4 linked regions of the Caenorhabditis elegans genome follow. The protein of the gene in region 4 purifies or fractionates together with the protein of the main gene of each other region. This does not show direct contact. Each region holds a gene or a part of one and is shown on either strand. Other genes may lie near its edges.

The links.
Region 1: the proteins of gspd-1 (region 4) and F08F8.7 fractionate together in Caenorhabditis elegans (co-fractionation; one large-scale study listed by BioGRID). This does not show direct contact.
Region 2: the proteins of gspd-1 (region 4) and lig-1 fractionate together in Caenorhabditis elegans (co-fractionation; one large-scale study listed by BioGRID). This does not show direct contact.
Region 3: the proteins of gspd-1 (region 4) and smg-6 fractionate together in Caenorhabditis elegans (co-fractionation; one large-scale study listed by BioGRID). This does not show direct contact.

What each region holds. Positions count from the first base shown.
Region 1 is NC_003281.10:7,345,312-7,348,768, forward strand, and holds F08F8.7 (Ribulose-phosphate 3-epimerase), read right to left. Parts: upstream 1,839-3,457; 5' UTR 1,832-1,838; coding exon 1,734-1,831; intron 1,335-1,733; coding exon 1,035-1,334; intron 983-1,034; coding exon 895-982; intron 846-894; coding exon 648-845; 3' UTR 544-647; downstream 1-543. Other genes in the region: F08F8.6 (uncharacterized protein), read left to right, coding at 8-70, 152-418, 469-513; gos-28 (Golgi SNAP receptor complex member 1), read right to left, coding at 2,290-2,414, 2,764-2,896, 2,948-3,032, 3,079-3,227, 3,271-3,380.
Region 2 is NC_003283.11:10,812,549-10,817,270, reverse strand, and holds lig-1 (DNA ligase 1), read right to left. Parts: upstream 3,159-4,722; coding exon 3,106-3,158; intron 3,060-3,105; coding exon 2,852-3,059; intron 2,806-2,851; coding exon 2,381-2,805; intron 2,335-2,380; coding exon 972-2,334; intron 921-971; coding exon 648-920; 3' UTR 553-647; downstream 1-552. Other genes in the region: C29A12.1 (uncharacterized protein), read left to right, coding at 3,882-4,100, 4,146-4,270, 4,315-4,511, 4,558-4,721. UniProt on the Caenorhabditis elegans protein: DNA ligase that seals nicks in double-stranded DNA during DNA replication, DNA recombination and DNA repair.
Region 3 is NC_003281.10:2,471,875-2,476,926, forward strand, and holds the start of smg-6 (PIN domain-containing protein), read left to right. Parts: upstream 1-1,993; 5' UTR 1,994-2,006; coding exon 2,007-2,366; intron 2,367-3,467; coding exon 3,468-3,623; intron 3,624-4,235; coding exon 4,236-5,052.
Region 4 is NC_003282.8:11,315,844-11,320,488, reverse strand, and holds gspd-1 (Glucose-6-phosphate 1-dehydrogenase), read right to left. Parts: upstream 3,071-4,645; 5' UTR 3,069-3,070; coding exon 2,943-3,068; intron 2,890-2,942; coding exon 2,683-2,889; intron 2,267-2,682; coding exon 2,191-2,266; intron 2,147-2,190; coding exon 1,894-2,146; intron 1,836-1,893; coding exon 1,534-1,835; intron 1,473-1,533; coding exon 1,335-1,472; intron 1,283-1,334; coding exon 1,081-1,282; intron 1,030-1,080; coding exon 853-1,029; intron 800-852; coding exon 712-799; 3' UTR 538-711; downstream 1-537. Other genes in the region: B0035.18 (Mitochondrial cytochrome c oxidase subunit VIc/VIIs domain-containing protein), read right to left, coding at 21-169. UniProt on the Caenorhabditis elegans protein: Cytosolic glucose-6-phosphate dehydrogenase that catalyzes the first and rate-limiting step of the oxidative branch within the pentose phosphate pathway/shunt, an alternative route to glycolysis for the dissimilation of carbohydrates and a major source of reducing power and metabolic intermediates for fatty acid and nucleic acid biosynthetic processes.

The sequences.
Region 1 (3,457 bases), on a different chromosome or scaffold from region 4:
TTTTCAGCCTGCTCCAAAATCGGCCATGCTCAGCTTACAGAAGACACCAAAGGAGAGTGAGACTGATCTGGTTCGTTTTTTATTTTTCGAAATATTTTTTAGCTTTTGTAGTACTCCAAGATCTTGAGCAAAAGTACAACCAATTTTTCAGAAAAAGACATTGCCACGTTCTCCTCCTCCAATTCCGAATCGTAAGCAGCCGTCTCGTGAGATCATGTTGACTCCGAAGCAATCTACAAAGACTGCAAATGCTGGAGGAAGAAGCAAGGAGCCGTCGTTGAATACTGCAATGAGCCAAGAGGCAGGAAATATCGAACCACGAAAGACTCCGAGTAAAGATACAATTGGAAGTACTGGAGTATTGCCATCAAATCAGGATAAGAAGACTCCGAGCAAGGAGAAGGAAAGTGTTAAAAATGTAAGCAACTGAAGAATGGTCCATGATGTTTTGTAATGCTCTTTTTTCAGACACCTGCTCCGACCCCGAAGCTAGGAACTGCAGAGCCCATCTGAACTTTATAGATAAATAAATGCTGCTTTGAATTTTTTAATTGACAATCATTTACTAACTATTAACATCACAACCTCAAAAAGCTCTGAAAAAATGAGCTTCAAAATTCAAAACAATATTCAAGTAATTAAGAAAATCAGCACTTCGAAATAGCAGCTTCAACTGCATTTCTGATTGTTGTCATGGCGACAGATTGATCTGCAGCTTTGATGATTCCAGTTCCACTCACGATCGCATTGGCTCCAGCTTGAGCAGAGATTTCAATATTTTCAGGTGTTACTCCTCCGTCAACTTGAATAGTCAGATTTGGATATTTTGAACGGATTGTGCGAACCTGAAAGCCATAAATTTTATTCGTATCAAATAAAAACCAAAATAAATACCTTTTCCATCATGTTTTCCATGAACTTTTGTCCTCCAAATCCTGGTTCCACAGTCATGATAAGAGCATTATCCAAATGATTAGCATGTCTAAAAAGTTTTTTAATTTAAAATCTAGATTGAAATATAATTTTGATTTTACTTCAAAATATGCTCAACAGAAGTTCCCGGTTTGACCGATAATCCCACTTTCATTCCACTTTTTCTGATTTTTTCGATCAATTCACTGACTGCCACATCACCATCTACAGCCTCATAATGGAATGTGAACTGGCTGGCACCAGCTTTTGCCATCGGTTCAACCCACTGTCCAGGATTAGAGACCATCAAATGAACATCGAAGAATGGTTCAGCACCAAGAGATTTACGAAGAGATTCAACGACAGGGTGACCGAATGTGAGGTTTGGTACAAAGTGACCGTCCATCACGTCGAGGTGAAGCCTGCAAGTTGGGAGCTGGATACTATGGGAACGCAGAAAGTAAATCCTTTGAAAATCCAAGTGGAAACGTTACTTACTTACTGCTAAATGAAAACGCTCCGCCCCTCGAACCATGGGTCTCATTAGGTATTGACATTGATAGTTTAAGCGTTTTCAATTAGTCCTGCCAATTTGTGTTTGAAGATGAAAACAATTTCAATTTGCGATTTTGTGGCCAAATACCTAACGAGACCGTAATCTCGGGGGGTCGGAGCGTTTCCAATTGGCCGTGGAGTACGTTTCCATGTTGATTTCAGAAGAGGTTTTTGTGCGTTCCCATTTAGATTTTTGAAATCTAAAGGGACATTTAAATATGAAAGTAGTTGTCAAAACTATTCAGAATTTCTAAAGATCACCTTACCAATCTGCTCCAGCTGCTAAAAGTTTCTTGCATTCAGAAGCCAATGATGCAAGATCGGCATTCAGAATTGATGGACACACAAATGGACGGAGGGTCATCTGAATTCTAGATAAATAAATTTTATCATCCAGAATCAATGAACAAATAAAGTTATAGAATTAAACTTTCAACTGTAAACTTTCAAAAAAATCTTTAAATAATACTTTAATTCATAAATATGTATACCCAATTGTTTCACATCGAGAAAAAAACGAAAAAGCCAAGAACTCCATTATACTCGAAAGATTACAAAACGAGAAAATTATTTACAAGTAAAAATTAGAAAAACGGTGAGGAATATCACAATGAAAGTGGTGTGCGTTGTATGAAGGGACAAGGGAATAGTACAAAAATCGATTATTCTTATCATTCAGTTTCTATTTTTCATTGACACAAAGTAATAACAACTCGAAAACTTGATAAAAAGTTACGACTGCCGATTGTTAAATTTCTTCGAAAAATACGAAAATCGGAGTTCGAAAAAGTTTTTGAGTTTTTTTTTGATATTTGAAACTGATTAATTGATAATCCAGAAAATTGTAAAAATAAGGCACGATGAGATGACGGCAGCAAGGATCAGTGTGTTCTTCTGCTTTTTCGTTTTGATTTTTTGCATCAAATTGTTAATTGCAGGATATTTTTCTAAAAAAAGTTGTTTTGATAATTATTATGCAGCTTGTAAAACTGTTTTTCAAAAATGTTGAGTCTCAGTTGAAAGGAGGAATTTTTTTTTGAAATTTTTTCGGCTTTTTGGAGAAATTCTAACTTTTGTTTTTCGGTCCAAATTTCAAATAAATTTTTTGTTGTTTTTTTTTAAAGATTTTTTGTCAAAAAACTGTATTGCAAGAAATTTGAACTCAAGTTTATTAGGTCTAAATTAATCTAGATTGACGATTTCAAAAAAGATCGGGTGTTTCAGGAACATTTTTATCAGAAATGTTCATAAATACTTAGATTTACTTTAATTGTTTCCCTTTTAAAGATAAATTACTTGAAATATGATGAAGCCGAGTTGATATTCCACGTAGATTAATTCCCTGTCTGGCCATATTCTCTTTCGTTGACATTGCCATTTCTAACTGTTCATCTAACAATCGATCACAAGCGTTTATATGGTCATTCTCCTGAAATTAAATTAATTAGTACTACTTTCTTGAAATTCTTCCCAAAAATACCTTCAAATACATATCATATCCACGAGCCCTGTTGTTCAGTATAGGATTATTACGATTTTCATTTGAACTGCTCAACAAGAGTTCTCTGAATAATATCGTATTGTTTAATTTAAAAAAAGTATTTTTCATACCTCTGTAATACCTGATCAACATTATCTCTTGCACGTCGATACTCACTACCGTAATCTCGAAGAATTTCTCGATGTCGTCGAAGTGTGTGTTGAATGGCTGGATTATTAGCCCAAGATGCCGAGGATTGAGCACCAGCTACGTCATTCATCTGAAGTTGACGAATTTAAAAACAAAATTGAAAATAAACTAACATCATCATTGATATTTGTCAATTGCTCTATCAATCCTTCGATTTCTGTTGTCACTGTTTTGAAGCTCGTTTGTCTTGAGGAAACTGTTTTCTCGTCGATGTCAAAACCGCCTGAAATATTTTTTCAATAGGAAACATGTTTATTAAATATTTTTCTGAGAGACATGTTCGAAAGTTGGTTATTCAAA
Region 2 (4,722 bases), on a different chromosome or scaffold from region 4:
TGAATTACAGGGAAATTTTGAATGTTTTCCACAAAATTGTGAGAAGGATACCTGTTACGATTCTTTCCCGATACGCTTTTTTGGATAGTAGCGGATTCATGGAATGACGTGACAAATTCACCTAGATTTGTTCAAAGTTTTAATTATTGCTTCAAAGTTTTAATTCTAAATAAACTTTTTGTTTGAAACTTAAGAATATTAATTGAATTGGTTTGAGGCATCAGAATGTCTTATGCTTTCTGCTCTCCCGTATTGAACTGCAAATCGAATTTTGCGGATGCGCACTACGTAAGTCAACGACACAACAGAAGAATGCACGAAGGAGAGAAGATGATTCAGGAGTACACAGACGTGGTAGAATGTAGATATACATTTGTCTTTTTAGTAAAGTTTTACTATGTGTTTGTTTCTAGGTATCTAGGTCAGCGTCTATCTCTTTCCTAAATAGAAGACTCAAAATCCAAAGTTCTGAATAAATCAGTTGAAAGTACAACACATTCGCACACATGAATGAGTTGTTTAAAATGACCGGCCGTGAACAAAAGAAAAAGTCGATGTGAGGTATTTACTTAGAAAATTAGGAAACATAGTACAAAAAGTAAATCATTGAATATGCAGAAATGTATCTCAGTATTAGTTGCTTGGCATTAGTCGGAATCGGAATCAATTGCAACGCGAGACCTCTTCTTTGCTGGCTGTTTCTTATTAGTTGAGGTTTCTTCATCAGACTCGTCAGAATCAGAAGGCAGCTTCTTCTTTCTGATCGGAGATGGAGATTCCACTTTAACGTCTTTTTCATTCTTCTTTGTCGATGATGAAAAGATGCTAGCAACTGGTCCTTTCTTTTTCTCTGCTTCTTTCTTTATTGGTGAACTTTTCACGGGCGATTTGTTAACTGGTGAAGATTTTACAGGCGGTTTCTGGAAATAATATATATAATTAGCGATAATGGTAATTTCAAAAACTAAAACCTTTTCGAATTTTTTCGGGGATACTGATTTAGGAGTCTCTTTCTTGATCTCCTCTTTCACTGGATTTTCTTTAGAACTTCCTTCAGATACATTGGTCATGTTCAACTCCTCCTCTTCATCTTCTTTTTCTTCAAATTCGTCATCCTCATCAACTGCATCCGCCTTTTCGATCTTCTGGTTGGCAAAAGCTTCTTGGTTTTTGTACATTTCAAGAACTTGCTCCGAAGATGTTGCATCGTCGGAATTTTTATCGTCCCGAATACGCAGGAAACGAGGAAATCTCAAAGAGATTCCTTTTCCATCATCCGTCAATCCACTTGCAGCTTTGTGACGCGGAGATATAGTAATATCGGCACATTTGACTTCGAAAACAAGATACGGAGAAAAAGTGTCATCTGGTTTAAGAGTGTGATCAAATTGATAATAAGAAGGAGATTTGTCAATTTTCTTGTCTTGTAGGATCTTGTATTGCTCGGCCAAATCTTCATCAGTGAAACCAGTTCCAATCTTGCATACACTTTCGTACTCTTCTGTAGTAGGATTGTAACATCCGAGAAGATATCCTCCATACACTCCAGTTCTCTTTCCAACTCCAGAATAAGCACCCATGACGACAAGATCCAACGTATCTCCTACTCCATCAACGTAATCTTTCTTCATTTTCAACCAGCTGTGGGAACGTCTTGAAATCTCATAAGTAGCTTCAGTGTCGAGAGTTTTGATCATGAGTCCTTCGCATTTATTTTGAACGGCTTCATCGAAGAAAGAGTTGATTTCATCAGTATCATTTGTATCTACGGAAGTTGCAAAATAGAAGCTTCCATCAATCTTTTTGAAGTTTGTTCGAAGAAGTTCTCTTCTTTTTCGGAGTGGTTTTCTCACGAGAGGCTCCCCATTGAAGTAGAGAAGATCGAAAAGAAAAACTACAACCTTGACTCCGTTATCATCAGTTGCATTTTTCCTTTTACGAGTCGACAAAACTTGGAACGGAAGAATTAAGCCAGCCTCATCGATAGCTACAACTTCAGCATCGACAATAAATGAAGTTACCCCATCCCCGATGCAGGATGAAATTTTTTCGATAATATCGGGGTACTTGGTAGTGTTGTTCTCTTGGTTTCGACTGTAGATGAAAATTTGCCCGTCTTCTCGTTTATGAATCTGGCCGCGTTCTCCGTCATATTTCCATTCACAGGTCATTGTCTGATTTCTGAATCGTCGCATAATTTCATCAATTCCCTTTGTAGGGTGAGCCAGCATAGGTTTCAGTGGAATTCCGGGTGAAAGTTTACATTTTTCGACAAGAGCTTCCACACCTTCAGTCAGTGCAACTTCGATCAGACGATTGTAGTTAGGGCATTCGCTGAAAATTAATTAGATGAATAATTTAATAAAGAAACAATTATTACCAATAGGCGGTCTTTACTCGCTTAACATTTGCATCTTTCAGAGAATCGAGTTTGTCACCACGAACCTTTTGATCAGTTATTTTCGAAAGAGTGAATGCATGTCCAAGTGCTGATAGAACACTTTGTTCACCGAGACCGATTCTCATTTTGCCGGCGAGCATTCGGACGAGGAATCGAGCCTCAATTCCTTGACATGCAATGAGGAGTGCACTAATGGCATCAACTTTCTTGTTCATAGCTGAAGTGCCACTGAGCTTTGCAATTTCGGTTAACTTGTTGAAAACAGTTGGAACAGTTAATGCTTTTGGAACAGCAAGCATTTTCTGATTGGATCTTGACTGTTGTGCGACAGTCCCAAGATCTCCTTTCGCGCGAAGATCTTCTTTAATTTTTCCCTCTGTACGTCCGGTCGCTTTAGCAACAGCCTTAAATTTTCTTTATAATTTAATATAGATTCAGTGGAATGCAAACCTTGATCAGCGAATTTTCAGCAACTCCAAGCTCGAGCCCTTCATACGATGGCCCGAGCTGATTAACTGACATGTACACGCACGCTGTTAAATCGTCGGGTGAAAAGTCCAGAACTTTGGTGAAAAATTGAGCCAATTCATCCACTTTCTTTTTTCCCGATAACTCTTCGATTTTCTCAAGGGTGAGAGCAAACTCCTTGTAAGGGACTCTGAAAATTTAGAAATAAAAAACAGTATGTTCCACAAAAAACTTACTTTGAACCCTTTGCCCATTCAACAGCGGCTTTGCCAGCTTTTGAGAAAAACATCTGAAACGATGAAGATGTGAAATTTACATTATTCGAGAAGAAAAGGTTTCGAAGATGAATAATTAATACGTGAAGGGATACAACGTAAAATACTTGGCAGTGTGCAAAATCAAGAGAATATCGAGCAAGTATTAAAAATAAAGTTGTATTAATCGAACCAGAAAACGATACATTTTGAACGGCGCGCGCACCAGATGCATTAGAGCACGATTGCGCGCACATGAGAGAGTGTGGAGACTAAGAGACATAGACAGTTAAAAACCGGCAAATCGTAAATGCTTCTTTCCTTGTGATTAAAGTCGACGTTATTAAAAATAGAAAAATGGGACATTGAAAATACCATCGTCTATTTGCTTTTTAAAAGATAGTGAGAGACCTATAATTAATAAAAAAAAGAATATTTAGACAACACATTTGAACCTACCAAAAGAAAAGTTCATTGCTACCGTACTCCAATGCCTGCACATCAAAAATACCGACTTTCAGCACGTCGCGGAAAATAACGGCATTCAGTTTCTTTCACGTGTTTTCAGCTCGACCATTCGGTGTAATTTGTGCAAACACCGTCACGCGCAAATGCAGACATTTTTGCACGCGCTGCGGTGAAATTCCTCTTGGCGAATTCAAATATTTTTTCCCGCCTTTTTTGAAAATTTTCGAGGCGTTAGTCGAGCTGAATACACGTGTCTTTCATCGATGTTCATTTTCTAACACTGTTTCAGAATGTCCCTGTCACAGAAAAAGGACCTTCTCGATGAACTACATAATGAGGCTGCAAAATGGTTGGCAGTCCTTCTCGATTTGTGTAAAAATGTAAAGGCGCCAGAGAACCAGCGAAACCTAGTCGCCTGGGCACAGAAGTGGATGGATGGGGCCGGAACACTCACTGACGAGCTTGAAGATTTTTCCATACGTGTTCACGTGGCAGAAACTGTGTCGGAGGTATAGACGAGAATGTGTTTAACAAACATTTGTTTCCTTTTTCAGATCAATCCTGCCGACAATGCTCCAGTTATGGAATGCCTTGTTGATGTCGTCAATGCAATAAATTCCATCACACAAAATATGTACAAAATTGTCAATAACGACCAGAACAAGCGATTGTTCATCGCGTAAGTTCAAAAAGTAAATAATTGGATTAAAAATATCATTTCAGAAAGTCAAATGCTCAAAGAAAGCATGCAAAGTTATTGAATGAGAAGGAAATTGTTATGAGACGACTGGAGCAATTGAAGAAAGAGCAGCTGAAGAAAACAATGGAATCCGAAAAAAAACTGAGAGATCTTCAAGCTGAAAATATCCGGCGAGATTTTCAAGAGCAGGCTCGTTCACAAGCTATGAGAGATCACGAAGGTATGAATTTCAGGTTGATTGATTTAATATTTATAAACTGTTTCAGTTTACCTTGCTTATGCGGAAGCCATTAATTCTGTAAACGTTACACCTCATTTCGAACATTTTGAGACCCCTGCGGAAGACATTTCTACACCCTTTGAATCGCCCAATCTTCCGAGAAAACGTCGCTCTCGCAGCCTTGGCCGGAAAGTTTTGGGATCTGTCAAGG
Region 3 (5,052 bases), on a different chromosome or scaffold from region 4:
TTTCTAACATCGCTGATAACGTCTAACATTCTAAAAAACCTCCACAGCGAACCCCTTCCATTCCCACGGTCCTCTTCTTCTCCGCCAAAGGTCATACTCATCTTCCCATAGTCCGCAATTACACCCCCTCCCCCCTCGACGCACAATTGCGTACCCCACCCTCCTCTCAGCGTCTCCAGCCGTCATCCCTTTTCTCTGCCCAATTCATATCACACATTTTCTCTTTCTCTCTTCCCATTCACTCTTTTCTTTTCGTTCCCTGTTTTTTTGTTACAATGCACGTGTGTGTTTATACTGCTCTCTGAGGGAGAAAAAATCAGTAAATATATCATTTCTGTGAGGTCCGTTTTTTTTTAGTCCAAATAGGCTGTAGTAGGCTGAAAAAGCTTACTTTAATTACTATATTAATCGAAAAAGAACGTAAATTGACAACATTTATTGCTCAAATTTGAAAAATTGCTGCATTTTTGAGCATTGTAATTAATTACAACACACATATATATATATAATTTTAAAAAATGACGAAATTTAATTTTTGAGCAAAAAGAATTGTCAAATTTCGTTTTAGTAGTACTTTTGTACTTTTGTTTAAAATCCCAATTAGAAACGTTACTTTGAAAACTACCATATTCTTGAATTTTTTATTTCAAATTTCGGTTATAAACGCTATTTAATTCCCAATTTCCAATGAGCCTCTACTAGAGTCTTCCCCAATTAGAAATCGATACCGAAAATTCCATTGTTACCCCCCATGTACTTTCCCATGTCTCTATTTGATGGGTGGCTAATCAAACAATTACCCCTTCCCTCCCCCCACCCCGCCGACGTGTATGTTCTGTTTAGCTTAACAGAAGGTACCCGCTCCACCAGTGATAAGAATTGTTTCACTGTGTTGTATGTGTTTGCATTTCGGAACAGGAAAACGTTTGGTGGTGGGGGGACATAAAAGTTACATAAAACTTTTTTTTTGTTACTTTGCGAAAATCGAAATAAAAGTAGCGATCTTGTGATATCGGAGAAATTTAGGGTTTACTAGTATTCTTGGGAGGGAAAATCTCAAAAAATCCGAATTTCCAGACCCAAAAGGCCCTTAATTTATATAAAGTATGGTTTTCAGAACTTAATAGCTTGGTTTTAACTATTCATATTAGTTTCAGCCTAAAAATATGACATTTTTTAAAGTTTTAACCAAAAAGTTTCTCGTCGAACCTATGAGTTTTCCCACGTGGTGTGGTAGGTTGTAACGGTGTGATCTACAAAAATGCGGGAATTTTTTTCCCCAAAAAATGTGATGTCAGCACAGTGTTAACCATGCGAAATCAGTTGAGAAGTCTGCGGCTAAATTCGCGCATTTTTTGTAGATCTACGTAGATCAAACCGATATGGGGCATTCTGACATCACACCAATTTTCAGCTTTTTCCTGGATTTCTAGGTACAAAATTGAAGTTTTCAACGCTTTTTTGGAGATTCCCACGGATTTTTAGCTATTTTCAACGGCGGTTTTCGGTTTTCCAACACCCACAGCTTTAGAAAATGCAAAATCCCGTCTAAAATCTAGAGGAATGACGAATTTTTGCGAAAAAATCTGTTTATCCTCTGCTCATCCCCTCGTAAAGCCCGCTGTCAACACCTTTTCTTAATTAAATTTTTTTGCTCCAACTCCGTTCTCACGTGGTGCCAGGCTGTCCCATTACGGTTTGATCTACAAAAAAATGCGGTTTTTTTTGCCCAGAAAAATGTGAAACCATACAAAATCAGTTGAGAACTCTGCGCCTCTTCTCCCGCATTTTTTGTAGATCTACGTAGATCAAGCCGAAATGAGACACTTTGACACCGCGTGCTTTCTCTTCAATTATAGCTTTTTCTCCTGAACTTTTGCAGTTTTATAGCGTAGGTAGGCAGGCAGGTAGGCATGCCTGAATCTGTATTTTCCTTTTTTTGTATGTTACATGCTTCTCTTTTATGATATATCTCAAAATTCCAAATTTCCAGCTCACCAAGCAAAATGAACGGAGACACAGACGCCTCGTCATCTAGGACGGGAGCTCCACGAAAACCGCGCCCAGAAATTCAAATCTACCGTCCAGGAATGCTCCGCCAGGGAGGGAGCACGAAAAGCTTGAGCTCTACGAACGAAGAAGCACGACCACCACGCCCGGAGAAGTTGAACACAACAACGACGACGATGTCGGGCAATTCCAGACGAAGAAGCAACGATACGGACAGTGTGACGTCACGTGGTGGATCTGGAAGTACGACGCCCGATGCAAATGTGATTAATGCCATGAATGAGCGAGGTGGAGGAAGGAATCGATTTGAGAAAGGCTATCGACAACAACAGAGAACAGATGGGCCATCGAATTATGTAAGTTTTTATCTTATCGCTCAAAAACCAAAAGTTCTACCCTAACACTACAGAAAAAAACTGAAATTACCTAAAACCCTCAAAAAATTTTGGAAAAATTCATTATCTAGCACGGGGAAACGGTGTCAGAGTGCCTCATTTTGACGTGATCTTCGTGGATCTACAAAAAATGCGGGAGTTGAGACGCAGAGTTCTCAACTAATTTTGCATGGTTAAGAACGTGCTGGCGCCACATTTTTGGTAATAAAAATTCCCGTATTTTTCGTAGATCAAACCGTGATGGGACATCCTGACACCACCCTCAGCAAATTTTGAAAAACTAATATTTTAGCATGATAAAAGCCCCAAATTCAGCTGAAAATGTCTCAAAATACCTTAAAAGCACTAGAAAACGACTTGAATTAACGGAAAATCTTAAAATCTATGGCAAAACTGATATTTTTACGGGAAAAGCCAAAAATTTTCAGTAAATCTCTCGAAACCCAAAGTCTTCACTATGAAGTAGCTGAAATTGACTGAAAACCCTCAAAAATTGTTTAAAAACTCATTATTAGCACGAGAAAATACCTTAGTTGGCTGAAAATCCCCAAAAACGCCAAAAATCCAAATATTTAACTCTAAAGCCACTGTGGAACGGCTGAAGGTAACTCAAAATCCTCAAAATTTGAGAAATCACGTGGTATCAAGTTGCCCCATAACGGTTTGATCTACAAAAATGCGGGAATTTTTTGGCCAAAAAATGTGACGCCAGCACGTTCTTAACAATGCGAAATCAAATGAGAACTCTGCGTCTCTTTTCCCGCAATTTTTGTAGAACTACGTAGATCAAGCCAAAATTGGAGACTCTGACACCACGTGAGATCACGTATTTTGGCTCTGGAATTTAGCTGGAAAAGGTCTCAAATTCTCATGAAACCCGACTGAACCCAACTTCAAACTGGCTGAAAACTTATATTTTGTCTCGAAGACTCCAGGAAAAAAGCTAAGAATTGCTCAAGATTGAACTCAAATCCCCAGAACTAGACAAAAGTCTGAAATTGACTGAAAAGTTGCACACCCCTACAAATGTCCCAAATCCCACGAAAACCATTCCAATTCCAGAATTCCACACAATCCCTCTACGACACACGGCAACATGGTGGCTATATGGAGTACCAGGGCAACCACCGATCGAATCACCGGAATAATGGGAGATACAGTAACCAGCAGCATCAGCAGCATCGGCAACCGTTCGAACGACCCGGCGGAAATCATTATGTAGGTTATCAGGTTTTCTTAATGGAAGTGTCTGGGGGGGAGAAGGGGTGAATTAATTAGAATTAATGGGATGTGTGGGATGTGAAGTGATCAGTAAGGTATGATGGGAATATGGAAACTTTAGGAAAAAAGAAATTTTGGGGAAAAAGAGATAAATCGCTCAAATTCTAGTCTAAAACTGTAAAACTTAGTAGAAATTGTACCAAACAGCTGAGAAAAGCTTTAGAAATTAGCCCACTTCAAGAAAATTCACGTCTAGTACAGAAAGCTAGAGATTTTATCAATCTGGACAGTTTTCCATACAAATTCGAGGTTTTTACTGGTGAAAACTGTCAGAATTTGAGAAATTTGACAATCTGAACTTAGAATTACGTTTAATACCGCCTTAAGAAGGCATGATACCGTTTCGAATTGTAAAACTCTGAACAACCTTAGAAAATTGTCCGTTCTCGAAAAAAAACATAAATTTTTGCGGAAATCACCATTGAGTACGATAGTCAAGTACGCAAACACGACGCGCATTTACAAAATTGCGTATCAAATATTTTTTGAGCTAAAGCTTTTTTTGTTCAAACAACCAAACTTTTAAAGCTAAATCTTTTCAATTTCCAGACCCGCGGCTTCAACGAGCGAGCTTCCATGCGCGGGGACGGCGCCATCGCCCGACGTCCTCAAGGATCCCGTCGCCAACGCAACGATTCCATCAACTCTACCCAATCAGAAATGCCACCTCAAACCGGTGCTCAACTTCACATTGACACCTCATTCGACTCGGCATCTCAGTGTGGAGCCTCATCGAATTTCTCGATGAATTCCCTTGGCGAGGCGTTCAGTTTCGAGGAAATGTGCCAGAACCTGCAGAATTTCGCGTCGATGGATTGGAGTAAAGAGGTGGAAAATGAGTTTGCAATGCAGAAAGAGCAGGAGGAAGAGGAAGAGCGACGGATGGAGCAGAAGCTTCAAGAAGCTGCTGCTCAGGAAGCTCAGAAAGCGGCGTCTCCGAGGAGAAATAACCGAAGGAATAATCGAAGAGGTGGAGGCAACAGTCGGTACCATCCCGATGAATCCGACAGAGAAAGCTCGTTCGGTGGAAGTATCGCCGAGGAAAAAGAGGAAGAAGAAGCCGAGGAAGAGCTCAAAAGTGGTGAGAGAACTCCGACTTCTGTGCGAAGCGGCAACTCTTATAATCCACGTGTTCTGTACCAGAGAACACGTGGAGCCAACGACGAGAACCATCCGAAACGAAGAGACGCCGCCGTGGAGAAGAAGCCGAAAGAGCCGAGACGGTACCGCGGTGAGCATGACGATCGGGATGATGATGCTTCGGAGTATCATGGAACGCTGGAGAACCATATGTCGTCGGGACGTCTTGCTGGGAGAATTCAGATTGTGCAGCGCTCGCAGAATGGGACGGAAGCCGGGGGAAATC
Region 4 (4,645 bases):
TGTGCGAGGATCACACTGACGCGAAAAACTCTTCATATTTGTTGTGACGTGGCCAAACGTAAAATGCGTTGAATGCGGCAGTCGAGACGACAGCGACAGCAAGTGAAACGTAAATTCCACGTTTTCCATATGATTGGAGCATGTTCCGGGTAGCGGAAGCAGCAACCATGGCTGAAAAAAAGAATGAGTAATACGATGTGCAGCTAGCAAGAAAAAGACGTAAAACAAGAAAGACGTTTTTTTTTAAATCAAAGATATTGATACTTTAAAACATTTGTGCAAAAATGATGGGAAATCCGATGGAAAATGATAGAAATCCGAAGAAAATATGATTGAACTTGAACAAGAATTGAACAATATGATGATGCGCGACGCAACACGCGTCGCACGTCCACTACTGTAGAAGTAGAGTGTATGCAGAGTGTTTGCGGACTGGCGCACCGTAACCGGCTTGTCGAAAAAATGATTATTTTTTGAATACAGATTATTTAAAATAAGCCTTTTTACTGGCTTATCTTATCGTTCTACACTTCTTTTAACTGAAAACGTATTTATTTTCATTCATTCAATAGAACATTAACAAATGAAAAAAGAGCAGGAATAATATTGATGTGGAACACAGGAAAACATATGAACTAGTAGCTGCTGAATTTTTGAAGTTATTTCTACAAACATTTGAAAGAGAATGAATAGAGGAAGATCTGGTATCATTTATAGCTTTGGAGCAACCCATTTGTATGTTCCAGTGAAGATGAAACCGTACTTTTTCATCAATTCGTCACCTTCAGTTGGACCACGACTGAAAAATTGGATTACTGTATTTAATTTTAAAAAAAAAGAAACACAACCAACCTTCCAAATTTATATTGAACCGGTTGAACTTTCTTCTTTTTAAGCTCTTCGAGAACTGGCGTCAAAATACGCCAAGCGTATTCAAGCTCATCAGTTCGAACGAAATTAATTTGAGATCCCATGAATACTTCGAGAAATAGGCGTTCATAAGCATCAGGAAGACGGACTTCTTTGAATCTGAAATTATCACAATGAAATTTTTTTTGAAGAGAAATTTCAAAAACTAACCTATTATTATAAGTCAAATCAAGTTCAGTTTCTTCAACACCGAATCCCATTCCAGGTTTCTTGGTCATCAGTTTCATGTAAACTGCCTCATTTGGTTGCACTCTCATCACTAATTCGGATCGCTTTAATTCACCAGACGGATAGATATCTCCACTGACTTCTTTGAATTGTATACGAACTTCTGCTTTCTTCTCGTTGAGAGCTGCAATAATATTGAAATTTAAAAATTCGGTTTTTTTTTGTATATTCCCTACCTTTTCCACAACGCAAGAAGAATGGAACACCCTCCCAACGTTCATTATTGATGTGAACAACAGCAAGAGCATACGTTGGAGTAGTCGAATCGGCTGGAACTGATTTGTCATCTTTGTATCCTTGTGATGCTTCTGGGTCTAAAATTAATGTATTTAAAAATCAAAACTTTTATAAAATTGTAATTTTTGAAAAACTCACGATCAAATTCAGGACTGGCAATGTATTGTCCAACTACTACATCCTTTAATTCTACAACTTTAGCAGCTTTCAACACTTTGACCTTTTCATCACGAATATCTTCAGCATTCAAACTTGCTGGTTTCTCCATGGCGACTAAAGTTAGAATTTGCATCAAATGATTCTGCATAACATCACGGATAATTCCAGCTGTATCAAAATATCCAGCACGGCCACCAGTTCCAAAATCTTCTTTAAATGAGATCATAACTGATGCAATGTGATCGCGGTTCCAAGATGGAGCGAGAATTCGGTTTCCAAATCTGAAAGTTCAAAATAAAATTATAAATCTCTTCAAATACTTTGAAAAAACATTCTTACCGCATAACCATCAAATTCTGAACCATTTCTTTTCCGAGATAATGATCAATACGGTAGATTTGATCTTCTTTAAAAAGTTTCGCCAAATGAGTTGAAAGTTCACAAGATGATTTCAAATCATGTCCAAATGGTTTTTCTATGATAACACGTGTCCATGAATCACCATGATCCATACAATTCTTCTTTAATTCCGTAGAAACCACGTTGAAAACTGATGGAGGAAGAGCGAGGTAGTAGAGACGATTGACGGCTTCTATAAATTTGCTTAGATTGAGTGAAATTTAATTCTAAACCTACGATTATTGCTTTCTTTTTGGAAATCATCAATTGAAGATTGAAGGCGTTGGAATCCTTCAGAAGTGTCGTATTGGCCCTGAAAAAATGTCAATGGTGCTTTTTATGTTCAAAGTTTCTAGAAAAAAGCTTCGATTCAAATTTTTATTACCCAGTAACAAGATTTTGTGCGAAAAATACGGTAACCGGTCTCGACCCCACAATTTTTGTTGAATGCAAAAAAGTGCGCGCCTTTAAAGAGTACTGTAGTTTCAAGTTTTTGTTGGTTTTCGTAGTTTTCCTACCTGATTTGTAAAAAAAATGTATGTGTTGCAATTATTTTTTTTCAGTTTTAAAACAATTTTTTTAAAATCTGAAATCGACAAAAGCTTGAAGCTACAGTACTGTTTAAAGGTGATACGTTTTCGCATTTAACACAAATTTGTGGTGTCGAGACCGAGCACTGTATTTTTGGAACAAAGTTTCACGCCTATTTATTAGCAGATGTAGATTTACCTGAACGTATGAGCACTTCTTGATGAAGTCATCAAAAGCACATTTCTCATTTTCTCGAACTTTACAGTTTTTCTCAAAAGATTCACGAAGCTTGAAAACTGTCAGATCGGAACGGGCATATCCAATAAATTTGATGTTGACTGGCAAAAGGTTGTCACGGAACAACCACCACAGTGTTGGGTATATTTTCTTTTTTGCGAGATCTCCCTGAAAAAATGTTAAATAATTAATAATCGATATATATGGAATAGATGTCATACCGATGCTCCAAATATCACGAAAACGTACGGAGTCTCAAATTTGAGATCTCTTTGCATTGATTCACGAAGACACTCGACGAGATCCTTCGAAATGGGATCGGACACTGAATGACGTTTGCATGCCATTTCTGTAAATTTATAAACTAGATTTTGAAGTGAGAATGACGAACATTGATTCACAAAAATTACTCGTGTTGAGAGGTAAATAGTAGAAACTACAAGTTTCAAAGTAAACCATCTAGATACACATAAATGTTATTTAAAAGTGAGATTATTGTTTCATTTATACAACGAAAAATCAAAAAGAAATACGTTAATTGATATATTGATGTACTTCATAATGATTCTGCGCAATTCTTTTTTACTGGCAGAGTAATAAACTGCTTACTTTCAGCTAGTTACATTTAATGGAATAATGTTAATTTCTAGCACTAAAAAATGTAATTTTTCCTTTCGAATCATATACCTAGTAGCGAACCGCAGTCTACAATATAAATGAATTGGAACAACTGGAACAACACTATAAATCGGTCACTTTTTACTCCACTTCCATTTTTTTCACAGGGCAGCGAGAGAAGAAAGAAACAGTAAGAGAAAAGTGGATGCGCCAGTCTCTTTACAAACATGAAAATATTTACTGAAATCTTCTCGGGTCACAAAAAATGATGACTGAATGAAATTGTGTAGTGTGTGCGAGTGGTAACCATGACAAATAATGTTCTCTGGGCGACATTGATCGACAATGAAAAGAAACAATGTATTTCTCTAGGAAACATAAAAACTCGAGTAACTTGACTCTGGAGAAGAGACGAAACTTTGTAACTCTAGATTTAATCTATGGTTCTTGACTTTTAGTTGACCGACTAGGATATTCTGGAACACATTTTTTTTGGATTTTATCTGGAAGATGAATTCTTCGAAGACTTAGTCTATCAGAGAAAAAACTAATTTCGTTTTCAGAAAACAAATCAAAAATCACTGAACTTGAAAGTTTATCAATTTGATTAACGTCTGATCAGTTTACCAAATTAACAAGAAGACAAAGAAAAAGAAGAATGAAAACTGTTCTTTGCAACTCCTAAATAACTATGCATTTTCAACCATAAATTCTGCCAATCGGGTTTCATTTGGAAAACGGAGCACACGAATGGCCACATTTATTTGTGTCTCTGCCGATCATTTTTTTAGAAGGTGAAAAGTGCAAACAAAATATGAGGAGAAAAAAACGGAAAATGCTGACAAAACTTCGGAGGTGACAAAGAAAGAAACGGATAAAAAAGGTGAGAAAAGAAAGGGCAGACAAATTAAATGGACAGAAAGACAATCGGGAAAGAATGTTGCCAATTTGGGAATATAATTAATTTTCAAGTATTTTTTTAAAGAGAAATTGAATATTTTCTGTTAAATTCAAATATTTAGAATGCTACATTCTAGCCAGTCTATTGTGGAAATCATGATAAGATTGTCTGAAAGATAATGGATTTTTCCAAAATGCTATTATATTACGTGGGCGAGCGTCTCCTCTATAAATAAAGAGCAATGGGAAACAAAACATGTAAACTAAAATGAACACCAAACACGAAAAAACCTTCCTCTTCCCGTCCACTATATTGATATTTAGGATCTGGTGTGACCCACAAGTGGGTGGTGCCATTCGTGATAAGGAAAATCGGTCGAAAAAATTCATCAGCAAAATACGCGGA